Mytilus edulis: one gene and its partner. The protein of the gene in region 1 purifies or fractionates together with the protein of each later gene. This does not show direct contact. Links are inferred from orthologs where the notes say so. Each region holds a gene or a part of one and is shown on either strand. Other genes may lie near its edges.

The links. Proteins that work in one complex are often made in the same cells at the same time.
Region 2: the proteins of ubiquitin thioesterase Zranb1-like (region 1) and sarcolemmal membrane-associated protein-like purify together in Homo sapiens (affinity purification with mass spectrometry; 3 studies listed by BioGRID and IntAct, with this or other methods). This does not show direct contact. The link is inferred for Mytilus edulis from reciprocal best matches to the Homo sapiens genes ZRANB1 and SLMAP.

What each region holds. Positions count from the first base shown.
Region 1 is NC_092347.1:53,331,700-53,338,627, reverse strand, and holds the start of ubiquitin thioesterase Zranb1-like, read left to right. Parts: upstream 1-3,914; 5' UTR 3,915-4,045; exon of another isoform or gene 4,046-4,058; intron 4,059-6,928. UniProt on the Homo sapiens protein: Ubiquitin thioesterase, which specifically hydrolyzes 'Lys-29'-linked and 'Lys-33'-linked diubiquitin. Also cleaves 'Lys-63'-linked chains, but with 40-fold less efficiency compared to 'Lys-29'-linked ones.
Region 2 is NC_092344.1:98,980,920-98,988,032, reverse strand, and holds the start of sarcolemmal membrane-associated protein-like, read left to right. Parts: upstream 1-4,100; 5' UTR 4,101-4,174; intron 4,175-5,675; 5' UTR 5,676-5,705; coding exon 5,706-5,894; intron 5,895-7,113. Other genes in the region: protein DENND6A-like, read right to left, coding at 3,780-3,935. UniProt on the Homo sapiens protein: Associates with the striatin-interacting phosphatase and kinase (STRIPAK) core complex, forming the extended (SIKE1:SLMAP)STRIPAK complex.

The sequences.
Region 1 (6,928 bases):
GAATATAGACTAGAGTTGAGACTAAATGTGTACAAACCTGACATCTAACTGTGTTGTAGAAAATGTGATCATCAACAATTTTATTTCACAATATATATGCATTAATCCAAATTCACATCCATTCGTACGGTCTCAATAGAAGAATTTCCCGCGGAAATGTCATGTGATATAAACATGGAATTGTTCACACCGATACACTAAATACGTAGAAAAAGAATTGTGGACACAGCAATAAGATCAGATTTAAGACCCTCATGAGCTCGGTGTTAACTAAAAAATAAGTAAAAATCAATTATTTAATAAATGTGCTCGATTAACCTTAATTTTTGAAGTTTAAAATTTGCGTCTATCGAGTGAACCTTTAGTCTTTGGTCTTTAGAAGTGTCAACTTGACACTATAATCTCTATCTGTAATTTAGATCACTCTGGTAATTTTATGTCGCTATTGTATAAAACTCATTAGTACATTTGTATTTATGATGTGGCACTGCAGAAAGAAAAAAAAATCCTTAGGGCGCACTACGTTTGCGCGCATTTGGGGATTAAATATTTACGTTATAAATAATTGAACAAATTAATAAATAATAAGTATTATGACCTGTATAATATTTTACCTGATTTTACCTGTCAAAAAATGCGCGCAAATGTAAGCAAAAGCTGCGCGCAAACGTAATGATTTTTGCGCGCAAATGTAATGGTAATGCACGCAAACGTAATGCACCGATTCCTTAAACGCCAACATAATTTTACAGGTAAATTGTCGGTAGATCAAAGGATGTTGGCTTTCAAGGGATAAACCGGCCTGTGTGTTTTTCTTGACTAATGTTTCTAATTAACTTTAAGTTTTCAGTGTTCAATATATGGTCTATCGTTTGCAGTTATGTGTCTTATCTGTACCCGGGTTTGTCTTTTTTTATTTATTGTCCTACTTTATGACTATAGTCTAAGTGTTGATTTTTGTTTGAAAATCTAGAAATTTTGTTTTAAGCTTGCGTTTATTATACCTTTCGTCTACTAGTTATTAAAAAAAAACTTCGAATCATTAAATTGTAAGAATATTTGAAATTAGCTATGGCATCAAATCATTTGGAAAAAAAACAATGTATTGCAATATGACCTTTTGCATTGAAGGATTAAACTTGCATTAAGTCGTGTGCAGACCCTTTATACGGTAATAAAAACTAAAGGAGTATTGAGTAAACTTGCATACGGGACTTAATCGAACACAAACCCAATACTAGTACATAGAAAAATACAAATTTTCAATGGTCATTTTTTTTTTCCTGTTCTTCATCTTGATAGTCGCTGGAGTGTCTTCAACATGAAAGAACCATTAATACCATAAAACAAAGCCAAGATGGTCCCTATATATATATACAGTGTCGACTTGAGCGGTACTTAAAGTAAATTACTTTAATACTTCACTGTCACAAGGACGTATATTGTTAGTTATACGTCCTTGACTGTCACTATATGAAAATGTTGTCCTAAAAAATCACCAAAGTCTAAACATAATACAAGACAAGAACAGACTGAATCGGTATTAATGATTTTGAGGAAAACGATTTTTGCCTTATCCTACATATCGGTCTTTTGAGTTTCTCCCTAAAACCTAAATATCTTAAATCATATTGATTCTATATAATTTGCTTTGAGACCAGAACATTGTTGAAAATAGCTAAAAATTAAATACTTTTCAGAGTAAGAAAGAGTCTGGGAAACGCTCAAAATGCACGATTTAGCTTCTTTTTTTTTTGGATCGAGCTTCTTGGGGCCTTGAACGAATATATTTTGCCTCACTTGTAAAAGAGTCTAGTGATGTTTGTATTTATCAAAGTTGTAGTAAAAATCAGGCCGAAGGTATACATTTTTTAATCATTTACATTTTTATAATTAGTATTCGTTATCATGTGATTTTGCTCGTTGTTGAAGGTCGGATAAAGGTTTTAAATCAAATTTTTATGGACTTTGATCCACTTTTTAACTTCCACCCTGACGTGCCATATAAGCTGTTGGTATGCTGTTGCACCTACCGCACGTAAACTTTCACAGTCATCGTCTTTTTTGAAATATTTTACCCAATTAATACGTGATAAGATTATTATCCTAGTAACCAATGTATTGAACATAAGTTCAAAAAATTCCTCAATACTATATTCATTTTGTTTGTCAATATTTTTTAGGCAAAACAAAACAAAACTGCAAAAAAATCGAACACAAGAGAGATTTTTTTTCTGCAAATGTCATGATTATCTGTCCATTTCTAGATCTATGCTTAGTATTTATTTCACTGAGATGACATGGCAGTTTTCACACCCTGGTGACCCTGCTGTTTTTCATTATTATATTCATATACATATAAAAATAAACAAAATGAAGGAAGCTGTGTAGGTCAAAATCTTATCATTTGCTGATAAATGTTGCTGGACCAAGTTTCGTGATCTAATATGAATTTTCTGAAAAATGCAAGGTAGATAGACATTGGCCTGTTGAATGTTTTACTCGGTAACTCACTCACTGATCCTCTTTGTGCCTGTCAGCACATAAGGCCTCAACCAGTACGGGTCACATTTGCCTGCCTTTTGCCTTCTTCTCGATCTCCTTCCATGTTTTCCCAAAGTGTTTCATCTCTGGTAAGTTTTGCTCTAGCTGCTTGAACGTTTGCGATAAAAACAAAAATTCGAACACACAGTGGTCATGTTTGTTGATTAATCTTGAAAATTCAATTGGTAAAATTTGGTCAAGTAATTTCAGAGAAGATCTTTTTTTTTTATAACGGACGCCAAGTCAATACATGAAGCTATAACTCACGCGGCCCCTCAACACAGGTGAGGTTATAGCGAAACGGGTTGATAACCAGTTGAAATTAAACCAGTTTTAGTAATAAAAGTTTGTACATTGGAATCGTTTTAAACTGTTATGGCCAAAAGTTTCAGAGACATTCTCTGTATTAAAGCATCAAAATGGGTTGGCCACGACTATCTGCAGACTTTATTCATTTTATGTATATTAGTTGACTGTTGTATGAAACTTTGAAAAATAAGTCTAGTTTTGTATAAATGTGTCCTTGGTTACCATAGCAACTACATCAACATTTGGTATAATTCAACTGGGTTAATGTTGAGAAAATTGCAATTTTACGTACTTATAGTCGCCGTCTGGATAGAAACAATTTGTATGATATTTAAAAGCACTTGATTATTTTAATTGTTCAATCATTTATGTTTAAAATGGTATAGTATAGTATTTCCGAATCAGTTATATTAGGAGGGAAACACACTATTTGGAGAAATGTTTTAAAATTTCAGAAAATTATAAGGGTTTTTTGAGGGAGTTAAATGATATAGAGAGGGGTGCTCATATTCGCCGGGGACACAATTTCGCCGTTTTATGATTTTGAGGTGCAAAAACTTCAAAGGATGGGTGAAATGGAAGAAATATGCCGGTAAATTATATCATTATAACAAATATTAGTATTTTTTAAACTAAGACAAAATTTCGGCACTTACAGAAAAGGACCGAAAAACAGACAACGATTTTCAGCCAATTTCCTGAATGAAAAAAAATATTTCAAAGAAGTATTTCCTAGTAATTCTTTGACTGATTGCCCTAAATATCAGTTCTTTACACATTTGAAATGTTTGCTATTTATCTATAATGAATTTGATTTGATAAATATTGTTTAAAGCTGCAGTTATTTGGTTTTAAATAGATGTGTAAAAATGGCGAATATGTGTCCCCCATTGACAAAATATCAGGCAATTTCAAACACCCTTTAATCTTACTTTAATGATGGTAGTAATATTGAAAATATTTAAATATTACTTCCATGTCAGCTCACATGTCAGTGTCTTCGACGTGGTATTTTAATCGTAGTCTGTTAGTGCTTGATTTCGTTTCGTAAAATATTGACTGATTCGATTGTTTAGGATTCGTTATATATATTCACCAATCGTAGACCTCCACTGCACTTTGTTATTGTTTTCATGTGTGTTTAAAAACAAACAGATGATGTGAAAAAATAAGACGTTAAAGAGTCATTTTGGTATGAACAATCGGTAATGATAAATTAAGAAAATGATGCGTTTGATGGCGAAAACGCAGTCAGTCCAATATGTACTCTGACTCAATTACACGATTGGTGACTGATGAAGTGTTATAAATTTGTGTATCCTCATGTTGTATGTAGATGATGACTTCGATAGTAACTGTACGCATAATTTTTTAAGGTCCGTCTACATTGCTTACAAACGACTGTTATACTTAGATCTGTAATAATTCACATTCTTGTTTACCTCAGACTCAAATGTGCAGGTTTGCATCCAGGATGTCAAGATAATTAAGATACAGACTTACTAGTCCAAATAATAATGACGTCTTGAAAGGTTTTTATAATTTTTTTCTTTGACGCCTTACTTCGAGACGTCAAAATTATTTGGACTACAGACTTACAGTACCTGGCCAAAAGTATTCGTCACCTGCTTTTAAAAAAAACGTAACATGGTCAAAAACACAATACGAGACAATATATTTCATGTAAGGGAACAGTCATTATTTATCAACTGAGGGGGTCGGTGCATTTTAGGGGGGGGTCATTGCCAAAAATATCATACCACTGGGGGGGTTACCATCAAAAAATATTTTAACTAGGGGGGTCACTCAATAAAGGTGCTTATGTCTGACTTGTATATAAATTGTTGACAAAATTGAAGTGAGTGTGCGATCTGTGAAATAATGTCTGTTTATTAAATCTTTGATAGTGTAAACTGTAAAGCACCATGCAGAAGAATATGCGTAATTTCTCAAGGGCAGTGAATCTGATCACTCCTTATCACAGTTGTGTAAATTTATAATCAATAAATTAACAACTCTATGAAACGTTTCTCCCTAGTTTTGACCACAGGAAACAGTGAGTTGGAAAGGTTTCTGGACATGCATACTTCACTTTCTATAGTCATGATAGTGTTTAACAAAAATCATTTTGATGTGATTCTTGAGATGAAATGGTGTGTACATATGATTATTTTGATGAAAGCAAGGATGCATGTTTAACTTAGTTATATGTCCGTCACGTGGTAATAGGTATACTTATTTTATGAAATTATTACAAAGATATCGATTAAGAATAAAATATGATCTCGATATTATAGGTATATCCCTTCTGTATTCTTTAATTTTTCAGGTAATAATTTTCTATTCGTTAAAGTCATATGAAACCTCAAATTAAAAAAAAATATGCATCTGTTTTTTATAACTAAATGGATAGTTTTCATTATAAAACTTTTGTACATATACTTTTTCTGAGGAAAATTCTTTAATTTGTCCACATTTAGAAGAAGTTTACTTATTTTAAATTGCTTGCTTCCAGGAAGCAATTCGCCGACATATTTTCCGTATGCATAGTGACCCGAGCGTAACCCTCCTCGTAAAAATCCGGTGATCGCAATACGCATGAATCTGTCATTAAAATAAACAATTATCTGATTGTACATCTTAAACACGTGCTCAATACCCATGCTTTTTGTTATTTATTTACTATAAGGTGACAATCCACTTCGGCTTCAAAACACGGCATTTAATGAGCAGCCATATTTGTTAAATCATAACAGACAGAGAGAAAAAAAAATTGACGATTATACGATATATTTGCGTAAATAATGATAAAATCGTGCACAGAGGACTTAGTTTATTTTTCACCACTCACTCGTTTCATATGACTTTAATTAGTATTTTTTGCCCTTTTCTCCTTTTATTCATATCTGAACACCAGTGTTCTCTGTTCTTTTTTTATTTTATTTTTTGGTCCATTTTTCTGTAAATTTTATCCATTCTCCGATATTCTTTCCTATCCAGATTTCAGACCTTAATAAAAAAAAAACTTGATGGGCACCATGGTATTCACACACACTAAACAATACACTATATAATTTGGAAAAAGAACAAATATAATTAGCTGGGGCCCCTAAACAAAAATGTGTACTTGTTCAGAGAAAATTGATAACACACTAAACTCTTAAAACATACATCTGTACAAAACAAAGAAAGCCCAGAGGTTCCTGGCTTGGTTGTATTATACAATTACTGTCTTTTGATGAGGTAAATATGCGGTTTTATTGACTTTTGAAAAATGATATTCACTAAGGCCGAAGGCCGAAGTGAATATCAGTTTTTCAAAAGTCAATTAAACCCCATATTTACCGAAACAAAAGACAGTAATTGTTTTATTCCATATTCCGAGAGAAGAACATGTATTTAAAGAATAACCTATACCAAAACAAATTTTACATGAAACATTTAACCGTAACGTTGCATGTAAAAGCGCGTGACGTTTAGCGCGGTGAATAACACTTTCTCGGGTGAATATGCTGTTTTATTCAAAATCCAATTCATATAGAGAAACCTACTAATATAATACCAATATGGAATAAATTTCTTTATCTCAAATAAATCATTTACATATTTAATCAAGAAAGGACAAGAACCATTTAATCGGTGTTATTTTATTTGCACTTCCTAAATCATTTGTACATTGGAATCCTGAACCCCCCCCCCCCCCCCCCCCCCCATTCATAACTAGCTATTTTAAAGTTCAAAGGTTAAAAAAAATAAGATACAAGGGCCTGTGATTGGGATTAAAATAACAGTCAGTATTGAAAGTTTATCTACCAGTATACTGATAAAATTTGTAGAATTATAGGTTGCAGTAAAATAAATTAATAAATTGGAACATACAATTTTCTGTATATTTTTTTTTCTATTTTTCTTCATGCACGTGTCAGATATTCCTTTTAAAAAAAAACAAGAAGAAAAGCTGTTTGTTATACTTAGAGCTTCTCAAAGCCAGGTTACTATGTAGCTGGTCATTATCTCCTCAACACAACTGTGAATTCTTTTTTTTATGGGGGATGGGGGGGGGGGTCAAACTTTT
Region 2 (7,113 bases), on another chromosome or scaffold:
TGATAATAACAAACACAGGTCAAAGTACGGCCTTTTACACAGGGCTTTGATACAGACCAAACAGCAGGCTATAAAGGATCCCAAAATTATTAGCGTACACAATTCAAACAGGAAAACCAACGATCTAATTTATATATCATGTATATCCAAACGGGAAAATACCAATGAACAACATCAACAAACGATAACTGCTGAACGACAGGCCCCTCGATCAATCAGGACAGGTGCATAAACATGCAGCGGTTATGGATAGTTTTGTTTCGCCAGCATACAATATAATTGCAGTTGAAGGCAAATCCGTCAGAAGTTCTTTGTACTTTATTCTAACAACGAAATTTTTTTGATAGGGAATATAAGTAAGGGGGAAAGTAACCAATTTTTTGTTCTTTACAGGTATTTCTGCTCTTATAAATTTATTATGGAGCACTCCCGCTTTGGATAAATAGGTTTCATGCTGAAACAAATATTCATATGGACAAGATTACATTTCCAGATGCGGGAAGCGGGAATATAAAAAAAATAAAAAAATTCTGTTTTGAAAAAAATAGGTGCGGGCGGGTCCGTCGAACAAGGAATCAAATTGGTGTGGCCTAACCATCAACAATATGAAGTTTCTCATCGGCATAGCAATGGCTGTAAAATAATTTAAAAATGTTCATGAATTACAAATTAGCAATCCAGTAGGCAATATAGAAATGGTGTACTGACATGAGTTATCTAAACATATTAGCTCCAACTTGAGCTTTCATCAGTAGAATCTGATACACTTTACAAACTTGCTATCAGTTCATGACTTTTTCCTGATTTAATAATTAAGAATTGAATGCTTCTTTTTGTAAATTTATTGGGGTGTAAAAGCGTTGACGGAAGTACATTTTGTATGAAGCGCGGAGGCGCTTCATTCTAAAAATGTACGCACAGTCAATCCGCGCTTCATTCTAAAAATGTACGCACGGTCAACGCTTTTACAACCCTATAAAGTTACAAAAAGAAGCATTCAATACTTATAATTACATTTTTTAGCTATGATTATGAAAACACGAATTTTATATATTTTATTATTTAATTCACCTGTGCACTTTATTGTTGGAGCACATGTTATCATGAATGAAAAGTTGTATTGAGCATTGCAACTGCTTACGGAATAACACGTGATGTGCAGTTAGCCAATCAGAATAAAATATTATAATGAAACATACATCTAATGTAATTATTCAATTATATCTTCCTCCCTTTATAACAATAAAAACAAGAATGTGTCCTCAGTACACGAATGCCCCACTCGCACTATCATTTTCCATGTTCAGTGGACTGTGAAATTGGGGTAAAAACTCTAATTTGGCATTAAAATTAGAAAGATCATATCATAGGGGACATGTGTACTAAGTTTGAAGTCGATTGGACTTAAACTTCATCAAAAACTACCTTGACCAAAAACTTTAACCTGAAGCGGGACAGACGGACGGACGAACGGACAGACGCACAGACCAGAAAACATAATGCCCCTCTACTATCGTAGGTGGGGCATAAAAACCCATGGCAGAACCATTAGCTAAGTGTTACTGAATTAGGGGTATAGCCAAAACAACTGTGGCCAATAAGGCTGTGTGGCTGAAACCTCCTCTAGTAATTAACTGAATTAGGGGTATAGCCAAAACAACTGTGGCCAATAAGGCTGTGTGGCTGAAACCTCCTCTAGTAATTAACTGAATTAGGGGTATAGCCAAAACAACTGTGGCCAATAAGGCTGTGTGGCTGAAACCTCCTCTAGTAATTAACTGCATTTGAATATTAATTTTGTGCAAACAAACCCAGGAGGTGAATGTTTAAGGGAGCGAACAGACTTACGATAATTTAATCATTGTGACAAAATTTACAGAAAGTGCACAAATTTGAAAGTCTTCTTCAGTTTCAGAAAACCACAACACATACTGATGTTTGCTTTCCAGCACATGCCTGGTAAAAAAATCAAATTTGTGAATTTTTTGAAAATATATTTCATGCTTTTTTATGTGCATTCAGAAAAGGCCATTGATGTCAGACAACTTTGTTGAGATTCTTGAAGATTTGAAAACAGCTTTGGATAAAAATATGTATGTGGCAGCTTTTCTAATGGATCTTTCGAAAGCTTTTGACTGTTTACCACATGATATTCTTTTAAGTAAATTATCTGCCTATGGTCTTTCTTCTAAATCAGTGAAATTACTTCAAAATTATCTTACAGATCATAGGCAACAAATCAAACTTCAGGGAGTACTCAGCAGTTGGACTGACATCCAGAAACGGGTACCCCAAGGCTCAATCCTGGGGCCCTATTATTTAATATTTTTATAAATGACATATTCTATTTTATTGAACATGGTACCCTGTATAATTATGCCGATGATAATACTCTGTCATATGCTGACAACAATTTTGAAAATTTATTATGTACACTTGAAAGAGAAAATGCTGTTTTAATTGACTGGTTTAGATTTAATTGTATGCAGGCAAATCCTGATAAATTCCAAGCCATTGCAGTTGGAAATAAAACATTTGCAAAAAAGCCTGTTTTTAATATACAGTCAGCAAAAATATCCTGTAATGAGATTGTCAAACTTTCAGGTATTGATATTGACTATCAACTTAATTTTAATCACCACATTAAAAATATTTGTTGTAAAGCATCCCAACAACTGAATGTTTTAAAGCGCATTGGCTGCTAAATTACAAAATTGAATAAATTGACCATTTTCCACACATTTATTTTTTGTCCTTTGGCATGGCATTTTTGCAACAAAAATAACACCACCAAATTGGAAAAAATTCAGGAAAGGGCTTTACGATTTATATATGAAGACTATGTTCATATGATGGACTACTTTTACAAGCAAAGGTTCCATCACTGAAAATAAGACGTACAAATGTATGCGTAACATGGCTATTGAGTGTTTTAAAAGTTGTATTGAAAGATTGTAAATATAATTTTAGATATTCTAATATTGTAGATATACCTAGGGTCCGAACATCAACCTATGGTAAGAATTCTTTTAAATACACAGCTGCTGTTTTATGGAATGATCTACCTGATGATTTTAGAAAAATTGCTAATTTTAGTCAGTTCCAAAATATTTTGAAGTCATGGAAGGGAAATGACTGTAAGTACACAGTTTGTGCAGATCTGTCATCTACATGTAGATCATACCCTGTTTTAAATATTTTATGCTATACATTTTGCCAGCTTTTATGCCTAGTTTACACCTATATGCTTATAGCTTTAATACCTAGCTTATGCTTATATTCTGCTTTTAGTGCTTCATTTTTGTGCTGTGAAATTTATTGCATGTGTATTATGTGTTGTATTGTTATAGATGTTGTATTGTTAAAAATGTTTCATATGTCAGTTAAAAGCTCATTACAGCTTATTTTGTCTATGTTTCAACTTTGTATACCTTGCCAACTCTAAATAAATCTTATTTATTTATTTTTTATTATGTAATGCATTAAAACTAAATGGTTAATCATAGTTTGTCATAGTTTTGTTATGTTAAATATTTGTTATTTTATCAATTTTTACAATTTTTCTTTGTTTATTTAGTGCAAATACAGTGTCAATGAGTTAAATATTTTTCCTTTCAAGTATGTTCGCTATTCTCACGATGGTGTTACTGAGAAAGGAGGATTATAAACACATACAATCGAGCATCGAGTTCACTGAAATCGGTACTAATGTTTATTTTTTTTCTATCAGCAGCTGTATTTATAAATCGAAAAGTCCAACGATACTGGGTTTCCCATACCTCCATGGCCTGACCTAATTCTAGGTCAAACGTAACAACACAAGCACAATATAACCAATTTGAAAATCTGTCCCATGGTAACATAGTGGGTGACTGTGGGCCATCATCTGGCGATTTTTCTCGATGGAAAACAGGTTCTTCTTTCGTTCCTGCCATTTTCGGCAGGTGTCCTTCACCTTTATTGTTGTTAGTCTCGAATCAAAAATCAATTATTTTAAGTTCTTCTGTTTCATTAAAAAATTACTAAAAGACTAATAATTTATATTTATTTTGTATAACCTAGTATTAATAATTTACTTTTACAAAGATTATAAGAATAATATTCTTTAGAGATTAAATCACACTAAAATTTTAAGATGGCTGCAGTCTCCTGAAAGGAAAGAAGAAAATGAATGGTAAGATATCAGTTTATTTCGATATGTTTTAGTTGTTTTTAGAAATTTTAGATAGATAAATAATGAACATAGGTGAATAAATATTTAGTTTCAACATGATACATCTATTATTATTGTCTCGAACTGGTGAAATAAACCCTTACACGAAATGTTATGGTAAGGTGCTTCCCTATAACTCAGACTATTCAGTATAATTTCAATAACAAATATTTTCAGTTAGAATGACTAATAAACATGTTCCTAATGTATTCCTGTTTAGGTTTTGCTTGAATTATATAGAAAGATGTGATGGTATTACTGTCCAGAAATATTTTCTTTCTGGGAACTGAGGGAAGTGAATACTGTCTTTTTTGTCAACACCAAAATGTGTTGTTATTTAACTTCTTGCTGCTGAGTTTTTTTCTTGTTTTGTTGTTTAAAAAGCATCTTGACGTTTCACATCTGTGACGTTGCAAATCTTTTGCCTCTCTGTAGAACAGCGTTTCCCCGCAATTCATAATTTTTCCAGTGTCAATGTAGCAGTAATTATCCTGAAAATATTTTTTTAAATATGAAAAGTTAATTGAAAATTATTGCTCTAAGATTGTTATCAACGTATTTTTAATATGTCAACATCATTTAAAAATTCAACTTTTAACCTTGAGATATAATATTTTTTATCTTTCTTGTCTTAAAAAAAGAATGTAAACTAGCTTTATACACGCTTTTGTTTTAATTTTGTCTAGTGAAATGCTTAACTGATTGTAACCACCTCTGAAATACTAAATTATATTACCCTTGTGATCTGTTACCTTATTTGATATTGTTATGATTGATAAATACTGTGAAAAATCTTGAAATAGTTATATAAACAAACATTGGCACCCAATGAAAATAAAAATTAAAAACAATGTTTGTACAAATATGAGTAAATAAAACTCTGAGCAGCCGAACTTCTTCTTGTAGTAGAGTATCAAAAGGTTCGGATTAAAATTTTCAATCTACGCCTTGTTTTGGTAGGCTAGGCAAGAAATTTTATAAACATTATTATCCATATTCATTTAATTTGTTATTGAATCTGGTTTATTATTAATTTGTTGACCACTAATTGCCTAAAATTGTAGAGAAATGTTTGCAAAAATAATTAAAAAAAACCCCAGAAAAACGAGAAGAAATTCTCTAAAACTATTTTCTAATGTCTACATTGTATTGTACATTGAAATAAACTTGAATCAATGATAATTCTTTTTCATTTTCTAAGATGAAGTACACACTGTATAAATTACCATACACTTAAATCTTTAAAATCTGTTGATATTGTTTGATAACTTGTTTTCTTCTCAATACTCAGTGGCAAGTATTCCATGCAATATTAAGGACTTCTGAGAATAAATATACAATACATTAGTTGCTCAATTGGTCCTATACAGAAGAAGATAGAAGATTAACTATTACCGGTATAAGAATTAAAAAAAATGAAGTTTTCTCAGTTCAGGCTCTATTATATCTTGTATAATTTTAGGATAAAGGAAGAGGTTAGCATAAGTCAGCCATGTCTGCAGTGGCTATTTTGTCCTGTCAGCCAAATTCACATCCATTTCGTGAGCGACATATTTCGCTTCATGAACCAGTCAAGATTGGCAGATCTGTAGCAAGAGCTAGACCGGCAAACAACAATGGCATATTTGATTGCAAAGTTTTATCCAGAAATCATGCCATGCTTTGGTATGAGAATGGCACAGTAAGTATATATGTATATGATGTATTTGCAGTTCTTGTGTGCTTGGTTTACAAAACATGTGTTCATACACTGCATTCCCTTACTTGGTGTGAAAGGTATTTGATAATGCTTATATATTACCATCAGTATATAAACAATTGTACCCTCAGTAACATTCTTGTATGCATCATTATGCTAAGCCAATCTTTATCCATCTTTCTAGAGCTTGAAACTTTATTTAATGTGATGGTCATAAATTCATACATGGAATTCAAAAGTCCCACAATGGATTGAAGGTGTGTGTATGTACTGTAGTTGGTGTATAGATTACCGCTTACTGTAACCTTATATGACACAATACTTATGAAATAAACATGTATTAATTATGTAATATCAAATCAGAGGCACTAGGTTTAGGTTTTCTTGTGGTACCATTAAAAAGGCTTGTAGGCACTTAGTGGTATATACATACACCAAAATCTTCAAAATTAAATCAGTGACTTTGAAGGAACACCTATTTTAAAATTGTGTGGTCCTAGGTTTATGGTCAAGGTCCCTAGTAGTATAGAAATTCTTGCAAGCATTGCAGAGCATTCAATAGCGTCTTTTCTATTGTGTCCAATCGTTTTCAAACTTTTTTCAATTGAATACAAGCAAGCAGAATAGGATAGCGGTATGAAATGTACAGCTTGTAGGTTAAAGATCAATGTCAAATGATGATTCTTTGATCTTTCTAAAGCAGGTATAACATAATGATAATCATTTGATCTTGCGATGTCAAATTGTGTGAATCTAATATTATGTGAAATTGAATGACTTATAAATATTAATTGAATTGAATTGACTTATTAAAAGCTAAAAACAGAATTTTTAAATTGTTATTTCAGACTAAGATAAGAAAATACATGTACCTATCAAATTAAACTCTGGCTGCCACTCTTTAATATAACATAAATGTATGAATAGGAGAATACAAAATAGTGATAAGAGAATTACTGTATTTGTCAGTAAAGCCAATATCAGGCATACTGATTTATAAATTGGCCAATCAATACATACCAGAAATAACTAGCAATATTGGTTTAAAATTTGATATTTAATACAATTATGGTCAAATTAATATTGATATTGACAAAGTGTTTGCTTATGATGAATTATAATTATCCTGTATGTCCCATTTAATCTTTACATTTATAGTAACTTTCATTATTTTATTTTTTCCCAATAAATTGAGAAAGCT